3 linked regions of the Cricetulus griseus genome follow. The protein of the gene in region 2 purifies or fractionates together with the protein of the main gene of each other region. This does not show direct contact. Links are inferred from orthologs where the notes say so. Each region holds a gene or a part of one and is shown on either strand. Other genes may lie near its edges.

Evidence for each region. The genes of interacting proteins can lie anywhere in the genome.
Region 1: the proteins of myomegalin (region 2) and Cdk5rap2 purify together in Homo sapiens (affinity purification with mass spectrometry; 3 studies listed by BioGRID and IntAct, counting the BioPlex papers as one, with this or other methods). This does not show direct contact. The link is inferred for Cricetulus griseus from reciprocal best matches to the Homo sapiens genes PDE4DIP and CDK5RAP2.
Region 3: the proteins of myomegalin (region 2) and Prkar2b purify together in Homo sapiens (affinity purification with mass spectrometry; 4 studies listed by BioGRID and IntAct, counting the BioPlex papers as one, with this or other methods). This does not show direct contact. The link is inferred for Cricetulus griseus from reciprocal best matches to the Homo sapiens genes PDE4DIP and PRKAR2B.

What each region holds. Positions count from the first base shown.
Region 1 is NC_048595.1:75,831,414-75,837,638, forward strand, and holds the start of Cdk5rap2 (CDK5 regulatory subunit-associated protein 2), read left to right. Parts: upstream 1-2,648; 5' UTR 2,649-2,825; coding exon 2,826-2,881; intron 2,882-6,225. UniProt on the Homo sapiens protein: Potential regulator of CDK5 activity via its interaction with CDK5R1. Negative regulator of centriole disengagement (licensing) which maintains centriole engagement and cohesion. Involved in regulation of mitotic spindle orientation.
Region 2 is NW_023276806.1:58,785,627-58,791,103, forward strand, and holds the end of myomegalin, read left to right. Parts: coding exon 1-123; intron 124-880; coding exon of another isoform or gene 881-889; exon of another isoform or gene 890-904; intron 905-949; coding exon 950-1,093; intron 1,094-2,209; coding exon 2,210-2,348; intron 2,349-2,570; coding exon 2,571-2,617; intron 2,618-3,399; coding exon of another isoform or gene 3,400-3,451; intron 3,452-4,083; coding exon 4,084-4,125; coding exon of another isoform or gene 4,126-4,226; 3' UTR 4,227-5,106; downstream 5,107-5,477. UniProt on the Homo sapiens protein: Functions as an anchor sequestering components of the cAMP-dependent pathway to Golgi and/or centrosomes.
Region 3 is NC_048598.1:169,643,527-169,649,542, reverse strand, and holds the start of Prkar2b (cAMP-dependent protein kinase type II-beta regulatory subunit), read left to right. Parts: upstream 1-2,439; 5' UTR 2,440-2,669; coding exon 2,670-2,970; intron 2,971-6,016. UniProt on the Homo sapiens protein: Regulatory subunit of the cAMP-dependent protein kinases involved in cAMP signaling in cells. Type II regulatory chains mediate membrane association by binding to anchoring proteins, including the MAP2 kinase.

The DNA of each region.
Region 1 (6,225 bases), on a different chromosome or scaffold from region 2:
CACTGCTTCATGTGTGTCCTTCCAGAAGCTGCAGGCTCCAAAAAGGTTGAAGATGACAACCTTCCCTTATGGAGGAGAACTATTCTTCCATCAAGGGCACCTGAGAGGTTGGGCTCCACTGTTAGAACCTACAAATGATTTCACATGGTCCTCCATCTCCTAATAGCATCACAGGCTTGTAAACAAAATTTGATATGTAGAATGTTGGATCCAAACTGTAGTGTTGCTCATCTGTATGAGGAGCAGGGCAATCATCCTAGTCTACTTACACTATAGTGTCAGGATGAAAAAATGGACCAGTATAAAGAGCGATGTGAATGTTTTAACATGTAAAAAACTATTCTTGCTGTTAGTAATAGCAACTCTACTGTCTTGAACTGCTACAACTTGAGAGGGTTCCTGCCAAATCAAAAGCATCTGGACACAAACCACTTCCAGCCATGCAGAATGCCCTCATCCAAGGAAGTAAGAATGCTGTCTTTGTGGCTGGATGGCTGTTGTCAAGGAGATGGCTCCAGATAGCCCAAACAGCTGATGGGAATGATGTCACTTCTGGGCTTGGCAGAAAGAAAAACCACAATGAGAAAAACGGAGCAATGGCCTCTCTGTCTATAACCATGAATATGCTACAGTAGCAGGAAAAACAACTTCCGATACAGTTTTTCTTTTGTATAATTGATTCTATTTTCAGTTTCATCAAAGTTTAAGCTCATAACCCACAAATATGGCCTACTGAATAGGACAGGGATTAATGAATGGGAACTTCCTATGGGTTCTTTATGGTTCTCTACTCCATTTTTGTATGTGGGAAAGCAAAAGAACTGAAAGGGGAAGAGGTTACAAAATGAGCTGTAGTTAGAATCTAGGCATCCACACTCCTGAAATCCTATCACAGCCACCTTGAGACATCTCCTTAAAGAATAGAATCTGTTGATTATAGCATTTAAGTACTATGCTATCTACACTAGACTTTATGTCTTTCTTTGATTTCTGTTTTTGTTACATTTTATACATACATACATACATACATACATACATACATACATACAGTTTGCTATCATCATATTCATCACCTCACATTGCGCTCTTCTGTTCTCATGCACTCCTGATGACTCCTTTGTTCTTTCCAACTAGTCTCTTACTTTCCTGTCCTTTTTCTCCCCACTAAGTTTAAATAGGGTTGCTTATATGAGCATGGATGGGGGTTATTCATTGGAGTATGTGCAACTTACCATGGAAGATAATGACACCTCCTCTTCCAGCAATCACAGATCTCATGTCTCAACTGTAAGTTCTAAGATGGAAAAAGAACTGAACACTTGGGGAATATGGCCTGTCTGAACCTTTTAGGACATTGGAGTTCAGAGGCATCTGGGCTCAAATCACAGCTCTGACTCTTGCCAGTTTGCAAAGAAAGAGTATTTGAGGTTATGGAGGAATGGGAATGAATATGAACATGTGAACATATTACTACTGACAGAATTACTACTGACAGAATTCCTAAAGATATCTCAGGTCATCCTTACAAAAACCTTGTAGGTTAGGTACTAGCCCCATTATCTCAGCACTTGAGCTTGTCAGTCATGGACACCCACTCCTTCCCCCAGAACCACAGAATATAGCAGGTCTGGAGCTAGTGTTGTGCAGTACAAACAGCCTTGTAACTATTGAGGGCCCAGCCAAAACAAAAACAAACAAACTGGCAGTAGGAGATACTTAACTGCTAGGGACCACTGTTCCACATCCATACATCCTCCCTATCCCTCTCTCTTTCCCTCTCCTCTTCCCTCTCTCCCTTACTTTTTCTTCCTCCCCACTCACTCCCTCTCCCCCACTCCACTTTAAGTTCCTCTCTCTCACTCCTGTGTAGATTTATTAAAGAAAAGTGAAGAAAAAACTCTGAGAGTGGGAGGGGTTCCAAGGAGGAATAGCTGAAATTCCAGTTTTGTAAAGATCATAATTTGAGAGGCAACACAGTGGCTTTTCTCATAATATCTTCGTTCTCTCCAGGAAGGTTAAAACATGGCTCCAGAGGACCCAGATCTCCATGCCAGAAGCTAAGGATCTGGTTTTGGTGGATAGTAAACTTGAATATTTCTTCTCCCCGGGTCTCAGTTTACTGATTGTTGGTGCATGAGTTCTAACGGTAACAAATTTCATTGAAAGCTTTGACATGAAGTATGCCTGACCCCTTTATAGGTATGAGGCATCAAACTCAGTCTGTAAATTACTGCTTATACTAGCGCTCCACAGGTGGTATTTTTCTAAATAGAGGTAGAACTCAATTATCTGAGTTTCAACATAAGGCAGAAGTCTTTTGAGTAAAAGAACCAAGGCGCGAGTGTGTAGTCATGATTATAGAACAGCAAACAGAATTAGACACTATGAGTTGTCCCACCTCCCGCTTAAATTAACTGACCAGGGCGGATTTTCACCCTCAACAAATATGGCCCCTGCCTTGGCTTCATCACGAGTACCCGCACACATAAAAAATGGCGGCCAGCGTCTCTTTTCTTAGTATTACAGGTTCAAGAGCGAAGATTCTGCCCTGAGTTAAGATGGCGTCCACTCATGCTTTCCCTGCCCGGTTTCAGGCCGGTTCAGGGCGGCTTCACCCCGTGTGCCAGATGACCCCGCCCTGTTTCCGTAGGAAGAAGCAAGGAAAAGATGGCGGCGGCTGCGGTTTGAATTCCAGTGGCGCCGCTAGACTGAGAACAAGAGCTGGGTTGGAAGGGGCGGGACCTGGGGAACCGAGCAGGTCGCCACAGCTCGGGGAACCAGTGGCGCCTCCGCAGACACCGGTGCCACCATCTCGGTGTTCAGTAATGGACTCGGGAATGGAAGAGGACATCACCCTGCCTGTGACCCTCAGCGGCTGCAGGTGTGGCCCTGATTTTGGGGTTCATGGTAACTGGGTTGGGGTTCCTATTGATGGTGGTTCTCTCCCGTGAGGCCTTCCGTTTGTTTGAGGATGGTCCCTGCTGCTGCCTGCGTGTGTTAGGACCTGGGGGTGTCCAGCCAGCTCCACATTCGTCTGTGGTATTCTGGAACATACTTTGAGAGAATGTGTAGGATAGGTAAGGGACTTTGTGAAAGACGGGGAGGAGGTGGGACTAATTGGGATTTCTATTAATAGGGGCTGGGTTGGGACCGGGACCCTAGGGCACTTGGTGAATAATTTTTGTTTGGGGGTTTGCATTCATTATGGGGCGTGTAGTTGTTATTTTAAACTTTGGGGGCGGGCACAGTAGCCTCCCAGGACAGAGGCATCAGTGCAGGAGTTAAGATCCTTGGCTGAAGATGGACAGAACTGGGTTTAGGTCCACCCAAAAAAGTGACAATGTGGGTGACCTTGGTAAATTGACTTCTGCTCTGTGAAATGGGCTAATGGTAATACGCACGTATGCACTCACCATAATTGGATGAGAATGAAAAGAAACAATGGCTGCCCAGCAGTTCTCTTGGCAAGTGCAGCAGCTGACACAACAGTGTTGAGAAGGGGGATCAGTGTTACCATCATGACCACTGCTACAAGTTGTGTCTTCTATCCAAAGCCCTTGGGACCAGAAATTAGATTATTTTGGACATTTGGAATAGGTTGTTGGCAAGGGAACTAAACTAGCACAGTGTCTAACTTAATGGATCTGCTAATACTCTCCTTTCCTTCCTCTCCCAGCCTTGATAGGACAGATACTGCATTCATTTCTGGTAATTCGAATCTTAACCTACTCTAGGCCCTCCAGGCAACTTGCTGTCTGCAGGATGAAGTTCTGTAATGTGGCTTCCATGTTTCTCCATAGACTGCTGCATCTGCTTCTCTTGCTTCACCCCCACTGTCTCTCTCTGGTTCCCAACCCTGTCTTTGCCCTATGCCTGATTGCCAAGCTCAAGCTCAGTGTCAGGAATGATCTTGCTGTGTTTCTTGCTGCTGGGCCTGTGCACTTGCTGTTCTTGCTGCCTCAGTTGTCCTTTGTACACCTTTTGCCTTATCTTCCAGTTATCTTTTGCCTAACATCTTCCACTGTTAGGAAACCCTCACTGATATTCCCACCCTTGACTGGACTGTTCCAGGTACCCTCGCTTGTCATTGTCCGAACCTTGTTGACAGCCCAATAGCACTGTCCAATAGAAATACGACCTGTGGTGTGTATTTAATTAAAAACTTCCTTGTAAGCCAGGAATGGTGGTGCTCACCTTTGATGTCAGCACTGGGGAGGTAGAGGTAGGTGGACCTCAGAGTTCCAGGCCAGCCTGATCTACAGAACCAGTTCTAGGTTAGCCCGGGCAATACAGAGAAACCCTATCTCTAAAAACTAAAACAAGAACAAAAACTTTCTGGTAGTCACAATTAAAAAAAGTAAATAAAAAGAAGCAAGTAAAATTCCTTTCTCTATGGTGCTGGAGGTTGAACAGGGGGCCTCACATGTGCTCAGCAAGTGCTTTACCACCGGGCAGCAGTACCATTGGGAGCAAGTGACTTAATAACATACTTTATTTAGTTTGAGATTTCCATATATAATTCTAGAAAAATCTATAAGAAAACTTGTTGATGAGGTATTTTATGCTTTTCAGTCTTAATCTTTGACATCTGGTATGAGTTTTTACACTTAAATTCCTTCTCAGTTGGACAAACTGCGTTTCAAGTTCTAGTTAATGGCCTGTGTATTGGATGATACAGGTGTTGGCTATTAACATATGGCCACCAGATGAGATGGAAACTCGTTTTAGAACAGGAACTTTAAGTCACTGTGAGAAATGATTCCCTGAGGGGCCACTTTTGTCTCCTTGTTATCCGTGGGACCCCTGAAGCTCAGAGAGCTAAAACAAATGGTCTGGGGTCACATAAAGAGTTCATGATAAGTCAGCATTTAAATCCAAGTTTCCTGATTCCAGAACCTGTTTTGCCTTCTGGATGGTCTGAACTAATCAAAGTGAGTATTCAGGAGCTCTTACTGAGCTTCTGGCACTGAACTGGCCCTTCAAGAGTATGTATCAGAAATATTCCGGGGGGTGGGGGTGGGAGGGGTGGGTGGGTGGAGATGGGTCTCCATTAGGTAACCACAATGGGAGAAAATAGTTCCTATGATAAAGTATCATTTTCATTTTAGTATGTTGCTTTCTGAGCAACCTTCTCTTGGTAATTTGCAAGCCCCATGTTTACAGCCTAAACTGAACCCAGTTTGTCCTTGAACTTTTGTTTCTTTAGGTAAGGATACACTATTTGCTCCAAACCTAATCCTTGTGCATGTTTCAAGCAGCTTTATCCCCATGGAATTTGGACCCAGGGATCCTGCCCCAGTTAAGACTTCTGCATCTTTTTATGTAGAAAGACCTGTGCTTGGCAGTCAATATGATAGCACAGATGACTGTAAAAACCCTCATTCAGCCCCTTGCTGGTTATGCTGCTTTGAATAAGTCACTTCCCTTCCAACCCTCAGTTTCTCTTTGTTGGTATACTCGGTTTACTGATATCTGTGCCGATGAAGTACAAGTGTGCATAGTAAGCGCTTGGCATATACTGGAGAAAATGTGAATTTGGTTTGTGTTCTTAAATGAACACCATCATGCACACTGTTGGTTGTACAGAATCCTCAACACTGTAGCCCTCAGTCCAGCTCTTTGTTTACATGCCAAGAGTCTGTCTGTGCTCAGCTGTGAGTGTCCTGAGGCCTGAGCCCAAGCTTTCTGAATCATGGGTTGCTCTAGCACATGGTCACTAAGTACTTGCTGCCATGTTAGGAGCATACTGGAAGGAAATGTTTAGTCATAAGCACAGTATATGTGTCCTCATCATGGATGCCAGGAGAAAGGGTCTGAAAAGAGGACATGAGGGTGAAATCGGATGAAGGCTTGATGGTAGTGAGAGGGCTGGCTTGGATCCAAGGTTTTCTTGGGCTGTGAGGCTTGAGGAGAACTGTGGTTCTTCAGTTAGTAAAGGGCCAGAGTTTGATTCCCAGACCCCACATACAAAATTCTGAGCTTGGTGATATGTGCTAGAGGGGCTGAGATCAGATCCCTGGAGCTGGCAAATTAGCCACTTTAGCGGAATCTGCAAACCCCAGGCCCAAGAAAAAAAGACCCTGTTTCAAACAAAAGAAAACAACCACGGCAGCTGGCTTCTGAGGAATGGCCTCCAGGCTAACCTCTCACCTCCAGGTGTGTCTGCACACTCCTGTGCATACATCCACAGTGACATGTGCCCCCAGCGTGAACAGGAGCACATAC
Region 2 (5,477 bases):
CATATTGATGACTACAGTGCACTACAACAGCAGATTGGGGAAGGCAAGCTGCTGGTCCAAAAGATACTGTCTCTCTCGAGGCTAGCATGCAACATCCCTGGACCTGAAGCTCAGGGCACAGAGGTAAGAACATGAAGCTCTTGGGGACTGTCTTCTTCTGACTTTATCTTCTTTGCATAGTTCCCACTTCTCTGATTTACATCCCCCAGCCTTTTCTGTCTCCCATTTTCACTCTGCTACAGATCATGCTGACTCGATCCTTTGACTGAGAACCCTGGAAAACCCCATGTTTTATAGCGGAGCACTTGTGAAATGTTGATTACCATGTCACTATGTTCAGCATCTTTGGTAGCTTATCTGTAATAGGAATGCTGGCATGAAGCCATGTCTAACTAGATTAAAGTCAACCTGGTGGACTGGCATTCACATGAACCTGCACATACGGAAGGGAAGTAAAGCTGATAATGCAAGGTTCCCTGCAGACTAAGCAGAGAAGGGGAGGCAGCCGGTGAAACTCTTTAGTGAGCTTAGTAGTCAAGAGGGGCAGGCACAAGTGACAATGTTGTTTGAGAAATGGCCACTCATGGGTGTTTGCATAGGACAGCCTTGGTCTATAAGGACCCACTACTGAAGAGCAAGATAGAGTCGCTTGTTGATATGCACAATAAGGTGCCACAGACACACGTGAGGAGCTTCCCTCCAAGATTGCACTACAGACAAGGAAGGTACAGTTTCGTAGAGGATGTAATACAAGAATGAGGTTTGAAGGCTGGTAGGACATCCTGGGAGAAGGGTTCCAGGCAAAGGGACCAGCTTTCCTGGAAATGTAAGGAAAAGCCAAGGTTTCCACCAGGTCTGTGTCTTGTGCTTGTTCACATAGGAAGCTTGAGCTCTGTGATTGGAGAAATGGGATGCCCCAGTGATGGGGGTACCTGCCCTCTTTCTCCAGGTACCAGGTAACAAAAGCATCCGTGAGCTGCGGAGCAGCACCAGTGCCCTGAACCACACCCTGGAAGAGTCGGCATCTCTCCTCACCATGTTCTGGAGAGCAGCCTTGCCAAGCCAGCATGGGCCAGGACTGGTAGGCAAAGCGGTAAGAGGCTGGGTCTTTGGCTGGTTAAAACCTGCCTTTTCCATGCCAATATGGCCCTACTCCCAACTCCTCCAGCTTTCTTGATGGTCAAGGGTTATATGGCAGTTGGGATGGACAGGCTCTTCATGGAACATCGTGGAGGAAGACCTCTGAGCCAACGTGGCTGCCTTGCTGCAGCTCTAACACATTCTTTTCTCACCTTCCAACTCTTGATAAGACATCCAAGAGAAGGAAAGAATATAGGAAGTAGACATAATCAGCCTGGACACCCAGATTATGTCCAGTCTTGTACCCTGAAGTTTGGCCAAGCTTATCAAGAAACCTATTGACAATATGGCATTCTTCCTCCACCCCTAAGGTCCACCTGATCAAAAGATCATAGAATGTCACCATGAACATGAGAGCCTCTTATAGCCATGCTCTGTTGGTATCTCCGGCTCAAGCCTGGGAAAGCCAGCCACCTCCTGAAATCTGCTTGTCTCTCCAGCTATGGTTGGCAGACCCTTAGAGGTGTTCCAGCTGCAACTAACTGTTACTGATGTCTGTGGACCCAGTTACGCTAATTCAAGGTGTTTTCACATCTCCACAGTGGCAGATATTTCCAACTGTCCCACTGTCCTCTTCAGATATGACATCCCTGAACTCCTAAGTGTCACTAGACATAAGGAGTTCAGGAAATTCTACAGGACCAAACAGAGCTCTTGCTTGTGGTTGGGATTTTGTGCTGGCCTAGAGCAAGGCTCTCCCCAGCAGGCTTTGGTTTCTCCATGTCTCTCTTGTGGCCTGGTCCTCAGCTGTCTCCAGCTGGGATTTGAAAGTTTTGTTTGTTTGGTTTTTTGATAAAGGGTTTCTCTGCATATTTCTGTCTGTCCTGGAACTAGCTCTGTAGACCAGGCTGGCCTTAAACTCAGAGATCCACCTGCCTCTACATCTCAAATTCTGGAATTAAAGGTTCATGCCACCACTGCCCAGCTAAGATTTGAGAAGTTTTAAAGGAGAGAATTCAATACAAAATGTAGACAAGATGGATAGTATTCTGCTAGACCGTTAAGAGCTGCAAAGCACAGCATGTGTTTGGCCTTGTGAGTGTTGTCTGAGTCTATCCCTCTTCCTCAGGGACAGCTGATAGAGAAAGAAATCCTGGACCTGCGAGCCCAAGTGTCCCAGCAGGAACAGCTCCTACAGAAAACTAATGAACGTCTGAAGACAGCCAAGCAGAAGAAGAAGAACATGGAACAGTACATTGTGAACCACCGTAGGTGTCCCTGAGGGGCACATGGGAGCAGAGATGAGTAGTGACCAGAGGGACTTGAGAATGTTGAGGGAAGACACTGAGTAATGGTGGGTACAGAGGGAGGGGGTATGGCTAGCAATAGACTACACATTGAGTGAGAGAGAGAGTGTCTTAGGGCGCATATGCCAAGCAAGCCAGACTTAGCTGGTAATTTCCACATTGTGGGCTGTTTTATGTTTCCAGTGACCAGGACCCATGATGTCTTGAAGAAAGCACGGACTAATTTAGAGGTAAGGGCAACACAGCCACACTCAGCCACAGAGCCTGCCCTCAACCCACCACTGTCTGTCATCTGCGGGGCCCCTGGCTAGCTCTGACATCCTAAGAGGTTTCTGGTCCAGTGTAGGCCATGGCTCCTCAGCAAAGCCCACCCTACCTCACTCCCTGACCTCTCTGCTTGCCCTCATTGTGTTTTCATCTCTCCCTTTCACTGTAGATTTCACTGTAGCTGTGTGTGTGTGTGGGGGGGGGGTGAATAGGCTGGGGAAACAGAGCACAGGTGGCTCTTGAGGGCAGAGATATTTGAGTCCAACTATGAGGCCATTTGTGCACACTGGAGTTTCCTAAAAGCAGACAGAACCTTACAAATTGACCCCGCTGCCATTGCTGTGAGGTTGGGAGTATCCTTCTCTTTAAAGATCCCAGATGATCTTTGAGTCTCACTGATCTAGAAGGAAACGTGAAAATCAACACTGCCCCTAAGGGGGAAGACTCTCTCTCCCTGGCAGGTATTCTCCACAGTTACCTCAAATGCTAAGTGCTGGTCCTTTCCTGGGAAGCAGTGTGAGGGGAAACTTGGTATATGGGTTAAAGATCAGAAACGATTCTATGAACATAGACTCGACACTACCAGAGCCTCTGAGCAGATGCCCAGACAGCTCCTCATTGCATCTGCCTCAGTACAGGTGCAGAGGCCAGCATGGAAGGGGGTTGGGTCCTGATGTCGCTCACTCTTTTGTCTTGGTCTAATTCCTGCTCTCTGATGACTCCTTTCTTTCCCGAGCCCCTGTAGCACAGCTCTTACAAGATTGCCTCTGTGCAGCCATATTCCTGTCCCAGCAAAGGTAACCCAGCGGCCTCCAGCACCGCTGGCCCAGCCTGTGGACGCTTGCCTCTCCAGTTCCTAGGCCCCTAGGGAGGGCCTGTCACTAACTGGCTGTGTGGCTTTGGCTGGCCCCTTTATCTCTGAGCCTGCTGCCCCAAGTCTGTTATGGTAGAACCTGTCTTACATTATCTCCGAGGCCCTGATAACTACACCCCTCTCTGATAACTGGGACATGCATTTACCAGGGGGATTTCCTGCTGAATGTCCCCCCTTCTACAGAGGGCTTTCTGTGAGTGCTCATCTCCTGCTCAGCACTTCTTTTCTTGAGAGATACAAAAGGCCTTTTTGTTTTCTGTTCATTTGTTTGGTTCAGACCACTTGATTTGGAGCATGAACTGACTCCTGAAGGGAGAGTGATGGGGTCTGGCCACTCAGTGTCCAGTGGTGTAAGCAGGAAGAATCTGGGAGTGTGAAAGGCTTCCATCTAATCTGGGCTTTGGGAGCTTCTCCAGGCCAGCACTCCCCACCCCCGTGCTTGCCCTCCTAACCAGCTCTCAGACTCCTGGCTTCCAGCACATTTGCCTCTCATTCCAGCCTCCAGCAGGGTCTAATCACTCACTCTGACTAGATTTGTTTCCCTTTTGTCTGCAGGTGAAATCCTTAAGGGCCCGGCCACGCACCTCAGCCTTGTGACCCTTGCCTTCCAGGAGCCCCACAAGAAGCGAAGCCAGAAGCCCTTAAAACAGCAGGAAGGGTGGGCCTGCCCCTCTCTTGTGCAGCTGCCTATCTGCTGAGGAATACCTGGTTCCACTCCACCCCTGCTGGAGGTCCAGAAAAGGGCTCAGAGATGTGTCCACATGGGACAGGCAGGAAGGAGAGTGGCATCCTGGCAGCAGTGAATATGATTAGCTAAGGCCCACTGGGCCGGCACTAAGCAAAGCTGATGTAGACTGCACAGAAGGCCTTGTGGCCCTGCTTCTAAACAGCTTCAGTGGCATGGCACCCACCTCGTCACAGTTCTTGCCTCAGCATCTGTCCTCAAGACGGCCAACTCAGGGGAACTAGGACCTGGCTGCCCACAAATAGGATGTGTGGTTCCAACACCAAAGCTCCTCAGACAGTTGTAAAAGCACACTACTGAGCGGCAGTGCCCTGCTGGACAGTGTTGGGGTTCAGCAAGCTCCCCTCACAAACCCACTCTTGACCCAGGCCAGCCCTATGGGCCAAACCAGGTAGTACTTTGGTCTATACTACCACACTGGAGTTCTTTGAGTCTACACAGCAAACATGGTGACTTCTGGGTGCCCCATGCTTAGCCTATCACCTTCTGTTTCTTATATGATCTCAAGTTAAACTGGCTCCCTTAAATGTGCTGTCCCCCTATAATTCTAACTTCCCTCAGGGGGACTGGGGGCTGATGGCCACATCATACCTATTGAATGTCTAGCATAGAGCACACCTGTACCTCTTTTAATGGCATAGGCGAGGCTTGTTCTGTACTGAAGACTGTGTGTCTTCACAGTGCTCATATGATGTGGGTGTGTGTATAAATGTATAATATAGATAAATATGTTGCCATGGCCATGTGTTAAAGGCCATACTGTGCAGACAGGTGGGTGAGAGGATGCTACACAGTCTTTCTGATGGCTATTAAAGCAAACTGTGTATAAACAAGTTGTTCTCCTTAGCTTCTTGCTTCTGTACCAGTTCCTAGAATAAGGATATAAGAGTATGAAAGATGTAAACTGCCATCTGGCATCTCCATGTGTGTGTGCCTTTTCAGCTGGTCTCCCTGAGGCCCCCTGAGTTCAAACCCTAGTTTCCCACGAGGACCCATTTCCACTCCGACAAGATGAAAGAAACAATCATGAAGCAGGAAAAACTCGCCAAACTGCAGGCACAAGTGCACTTTGGCGGGAAAGGAACCACTTGCAGAAAGGTGGTGGTTCCCAGAACAGCCCAGCAGATGATAAAAAAAAAAAAAAAAAAAAAAAAAGTTCTCCTTAAAGAGCCTTTAACAGCCATAAAAGCTGAGGCTTCAATGG
Region 3 (6,016 bases), on a different chromosome or scaffold from region 2:
AGTAATCTACAGATTCAATGCAATCCCTATCAAAATCCCAATACAATTCTTCACAGACCTTTAAAGAACAATACTCAACTTCATATGGAAAAAAAAAAAAACAGAATAGCCAAAACTATCCTGTACAATCTGGGAGCATCACCATCCCAGACATCAAGCTCTACTATAGAGTAATGAAAACAGTTTGGTATTGGCATAAAAACAGACAGGTAGACCAATAGAATCAAATCAGAGACCCGATATCAACCCACACACCTATGAACACCTAATCTTGACAAAGAAGCTAAAATATAAAACAGAAAAAAAACATATTCAAGAAATGGTGCTGGTATAACTGGCTGTCAACATGTAGAAGAAGCAAATAGATGCATATATATCGCCATGCACAAAACTTAAGCCCAAATGGTTCAAGGACCTCAATATAAATCCATCCACATTGAACCTCATAGAAGAGAAAGTGGGAAATACATTTGAACATCGGAGATCAATTCCTGAATTTAACACCAGTAACACAGACACTCAGATTGACAATTAATAAATGGGACCTCCAGAAACTGAGAAGCTTCTGTAAAGCAAAGGACACAGTCAACAAGACAAAACGGCTCCCCACAGAATGGGAACAATTCTTTACCAACCTTATATCTGATGGAGGGCTGATCTCCAACATATAGAAAGAGTTGAAAAAACTAGACATCAAATTACCAAATAATCCAATTTAAAAATGGGGTATAGATCTAAACAGAGAATTCTCAACAGAACAATCTCAAATGGCAGAAAGACTCTTAAGGAAATGCTCAATATCCTTAGTCATCAGGGAAATGCCAATCAAAACCACTCTGATATCCCATCTTACACTGATCAGAATTGCTAACATCAAAAACAACAATGACAGCTTATGCTTGAGAGGATGTGGAATAAAGGGGAACATTCCTCCTTTGCTGGTGGGAGTACAAACTTATACAGCCACTGTAGAAATCAGTATATCAATTTCTCAGAATATTAGGGTTCAACCTACCTCAAGACCCAGCAATACCACTCTTGGGCATATACCCAAAGGATGCACACTCACCAAACAAGGACATTGCTCAACTATGTTCATAGCAACATTATTGGTAATAGCCAAAACCTGGAAACAACCTACATGCCCCTCAACTGAAGAATGGATAAAGAAAATGTGGTACATTTACACAATGGAGTACTATTCAGTGTTAAGAAACAATGGCATCCTAAAAACCATCCTGAGTGAGGTAACCCAAAACCAGAAAGACAAATATACCAGACATAAAGCAAAAGATACCCAGCCTATAATCCACAACCCCAGAGGAGCTTGCATCCTCTTCCAGAAACAGATGGAAGCAGATGCAGAAATCCACAACTAACCAATGGGCCAAGCTCCTGGAGTACAATCAAAGTGAGAGAGGAGTGATAATATGAACAAAGGAGTCAAGACCATGATGGGGAAACCAGGTGACCCGAGCCAGTGAGAGATCACTTATTCAGGTCTGACAAATGGGGTATCTACGTAAGACTGAACTAGACTCCCTTAATATAGTTGACAATGGTGTGACTGGGACAATATATGAGGCCACTGGCAATGGGTCCAAGACCTAACACTAATGCATAAACAGACTGACTTAGTGGAGCCCATTCTATATGGAGAGCCACCTTGCCCAGCGTAGAAACGGGGTGGGGTTGAAGAGGTGCTTTGGTCCTGACTCAACTAGATGATGGGACAGACTTAGTAGACTTCCTAGGGGAGGCCCTACCCTTTCCGAGGAGCAGACGGGATGGGGAGGGAGTGGGAGGAGAGGAGGGAGGGGTGCTTGATAATAATAATTTATTTTTTTGGTGTTTTGGAGACAGGGTTTCTCTGTGGCTTTGAAGGTTGTCCTGGAACTAGCTCTTGTAGACCAGGCTGGTCTCGAACAAATTAATAAAAATTGAATAAATAAATGTTGCCTTTGTCTCAGCAACTAGCAAGAAATGCACCAAGCATGCCGTGGCAGAACATCTGCACAGCAAGCTGACCATCACAGCCAGGTGACTGAAAAGCGGGAAAAAACCTAGTGAAAGAAAATGTTGTAACAAATAAGTAGCCATATTTCCTGTATCCAAAAGAGAACCAGTACAGCTGTGTGACTTTAACAAAAGACACCATGCACATTTCTCTTACTGTTGGCTTCTAGGAGAAGAAAAGCCACCACCAAGGTGGAGGCTGAAGTTTCAGAACAAATTGCACGACGCCAACTCCGGGAGGGCTTGGGCAGAATGATGCGCAGGATCTGCTCTGAGAGCTGTCGGCCTCACGCCCTAGGTTCCCGCTGCCTCCACCCAGAGGCCACTTAGCAAGTGGCGCTGAACCCGCCTGCCGGGTTGCCATGGTTTCCGGGGATCACGTGGGCGCGCGGGCGGGGGCGGGGCGCCGGGCGTGGGGCGGTGCAGTGGTGGCGGGAGAGGGAGCGGGAGGAGCTGGAGATGCTGCCAACCCTCCCGGGCTGTGCTCGCTCTGCCGCCGCCGCCGCCGCACGGAGCAGCCGCGCCAGGGGCCCAGGGCGCCGCGTTCGCAGCCGGTAGCGCCGGGGGCGCTCGCTCGGGGCCGCGCAGCCTGAGACCGGACAGCGGACAGGGTGCGAGGGCGGCGCCCAGGCGCCGGGGCGTGCACAGGCAGGATGAGCATCGAGATCCCCGCGGGGCTCACGGAGCTGCTGCAGGGCTTCACGGTGGAGGTGCTGAGGCACCAGCCGGCCGACCTGCTGGAGTTCGCGCTGCAGCACTTCACGCGGCTGCAGCAGGAGAACGAGCGCAAGGGCGCCGCTTGCTTCGGCCATGAGGGCAGGACCTGGGGGAACGCGGGCGCCGCCGTCGGGGGCGGCGCCCCCAGTAAGGGTGTCAACTTCGCTGAGGAGCCCATGCGCTCCGACTCCGAAAACGGCGAGGAGGAGGAGGCCGCGGAAGCAGGGGCGTTCAATGGTGAGGACCGGCCCCCTCGCGCCCTGACCACCGCGCCCGCCCGCCCGTCTCGCTCGCCAACCCCGCCTTGCTCTCGAACCCTGCGCTGAGCTCCCCACCTTCCCCGAACTCTCTATCTTCCCATCCCGCCCACACCCACCCACCCCGGCACCCATTTCGGTCTCCCACTCGCCCACCTTCCTACTCCGCTCTCTTGCCAAGCCCTCCCTTTCTCTGGAGGTGGAGAAATGAAAGGTTGCGCTCCGCAGCCCCTCTGTCACCTTTCTTCCTTGGCCGATTTGGGGTGGGCATCTTGCTGGAAGGTTAACTTTCCCGTGGCTGGAGATGTCTCAGTCTTGGAGAGTGCCATTGTGCATGAAGGGCGCTTGGTGTCCTCTTTTCAGCCCTTAAATTTATTAATGGAGTGTTCGCAGAGAAAAAGGCAAGCGTGTAGGACTCAGTAAGAGGAGTGTGACATCGACTCACTAAGGTAAAGCAAATGAATGGTAATAGCTGTGACATCCTTGGAATACGAATAATTTATTATTTTCCAATATCATGTGGTGGAGATATTTTTGGACGCATAACAAAGGATCACATTTAGCCAGATATGTAAGGGGTCTCTGAAGTGAGGAAATAGGCCAATGATTTTCTTTTCTTAAAAAATTTCAAAACATATATTGAATGGTTTGATTTTTTTTAAGTGTGTGGGAAAAAAATAACACCATAGGAAGCTCTAAGAGCATGTCGGCTGTCTTTAGAATGAAAAGCCAGTGAGTAACTGTAAGGACCTTGCCAGACACTGAGGCTAGAAAGAATGAATGAGAGAGAAAAGGAATTTTCTTAAATAGCTGCCAAAAGGCAAGTGCCGTCCCTCGTGCTTCCCAACCTCTCCCTGACACACCAGATACACACATACACACACACACACACACACACACACACACACACACACACACACACACACACACGTTCACAGTCCCTTGTATTTACACAGTGTTTTTCAGGAACCCAGGCTAAAATGCCATGGTGTGCAAATGTACTAGTGTTTTCTATGTGGTGTAAGGCAAGCACGCATGCAACTTTTATTTATTTATAGTGCTGGTGATTTGTGTGTCCACAATGCATTTCATACAATGAAAACACTTCATTTCCTGTGTCCCTTCCTAGAAAGATTTTTTATTTCTTTGTAGAATTAATTACATATTGGCTGGGTTACAAGAGTAATGCACTTTTAGCTGGTCTAAAACGTGAAACTGTGGACATTAGTGCTCTTTAAATGTGAAAGGGAAGATTACTATTTAAAAATCTTAATATGGGACATTTGGTGCTTTTGAGGATAGGGTAGTCATAAATTCAATTGTTCCCACACCAAATCAAATGCTTGTCCTGCAGTGTCATCTATGACGTGTGTGCACACGCCCTTGTGCACACACTGTGTGTGAAGGGAGATACACATGGAGGCAAGCAGTACACAAAGGAGATAGGGACTGGATGGCAGGCAACAGGAGATGGGGGACTTGGTAAAGAACCTTTATGCTCTTCAGACTATGATGTTAATACAGCTAACCCCTTTTTGTTTAATTCTCTTGAAGTACTTTGCATTGACTTGATTTCTCCTTGCAAGGGTGTGTATCCTGCACATTGGAACAAAGAAGTGCATTTGTAAGCAGTAGGGGTATTTACTTTTATGAAGCTTTATATTCTTCAAGTCATCTTTCCTATAAAATTACTCAAGGTCAGTTGTAATGAATACTTAACTAGTTTATTCCCACCTCTACCTCCAGGGATTTCAGAAGTTTTGGCTCTACCCTAGCACAATTTGATCATTATCCAGCAGATGTATGTTTGGTGTTAGTATAATCTCTGTTGGGGCAGTTCATTTTTATTCTTCTAAGTCACACTCTTGTTCCCATAGAAGTAAACTGTGTAAGAAGCGGTTAAAAACAATTGTAGGCTATAGAATGCTTGGCAGACTTTTTTGTGAATGGCCCTTTCAGACTGTGGGCATCTTATCATCTGGATCATTTTTTTTCCAAATAGATCTTTAACCAAGTGTACTCTCTGGAGCTTGAATTCATACAAGGCCATAGTTTACTCCTGGACAAAGGGGGAAATATATATATAGTCATGTGCATGTATGCACATACACGCACGCACGCCCTCTCTCTCTCTCTCTCTCTCTCTCTCTCTCTCTCTCTCTCTCTCTCTCTCACACACATACACACACACACACACACACACACACACACACACACACACACACACTTCAAGATATACTCATTTGTGGAAAAGACACACATGGGAAATTGACCAAAACCCTACAGACCTATTAAGGTATGTCTATATCCAGGAGAATACTTAAGACACTAGGTCATTCTCTTGGCACAGGAGAGAGTACGTGTGGACGGACACCAGTCTGTGTGGCACAGCACAGGGTACAGGATCAATGAAGCTTACATTTCACGTGCAGCTTGAAGTTTGGGAAAATAACATTATCTAGTACCTTCTTAGAGAACTGTTATGAATAGGTGGGACATAGATTCTTTTTCTTTTTGGTCAACAAACACCTCAGGTTTTCTGGCACCTACAGTGCCCTGACCACATTTTGAAAACACTGGTTGGTGGATCATGACGATCATGACCATAAAGTAGCCCCTGTTATTATTAATGATTAGAGAAAGGGCAGCCATTTGTTGACATTTTTGGTGTGCTAGGTTCTCTGGAAATGTCTTCGTTCATCATTCCAGCTCCATGACACTAATGAGGCTGTCACTTATTCTGTGCTTTATAGTTAGTGTGCTGCAAAAGCAGAGCTGGCACAGGTGGGCCTACTTCCATCCCAGTACTCTTGTCTACCAGGTTTATCTCCAGAAGGGGCTGGGGCCAACTTGACCTGTGCTAGCTCCCCCCACTGCCTTTTAATGTTTTTCTTTATTATTTTTCATTTTTAAAAGTCTTATTTTACATACCAATCCCAGTTCCCTCTCCCTGCAGCCCTGCTCCTCCCCACCTTCTTCCCACTCCACCCCCCATGAAACCTCCCATGGGGAATCAACAAAGTCTG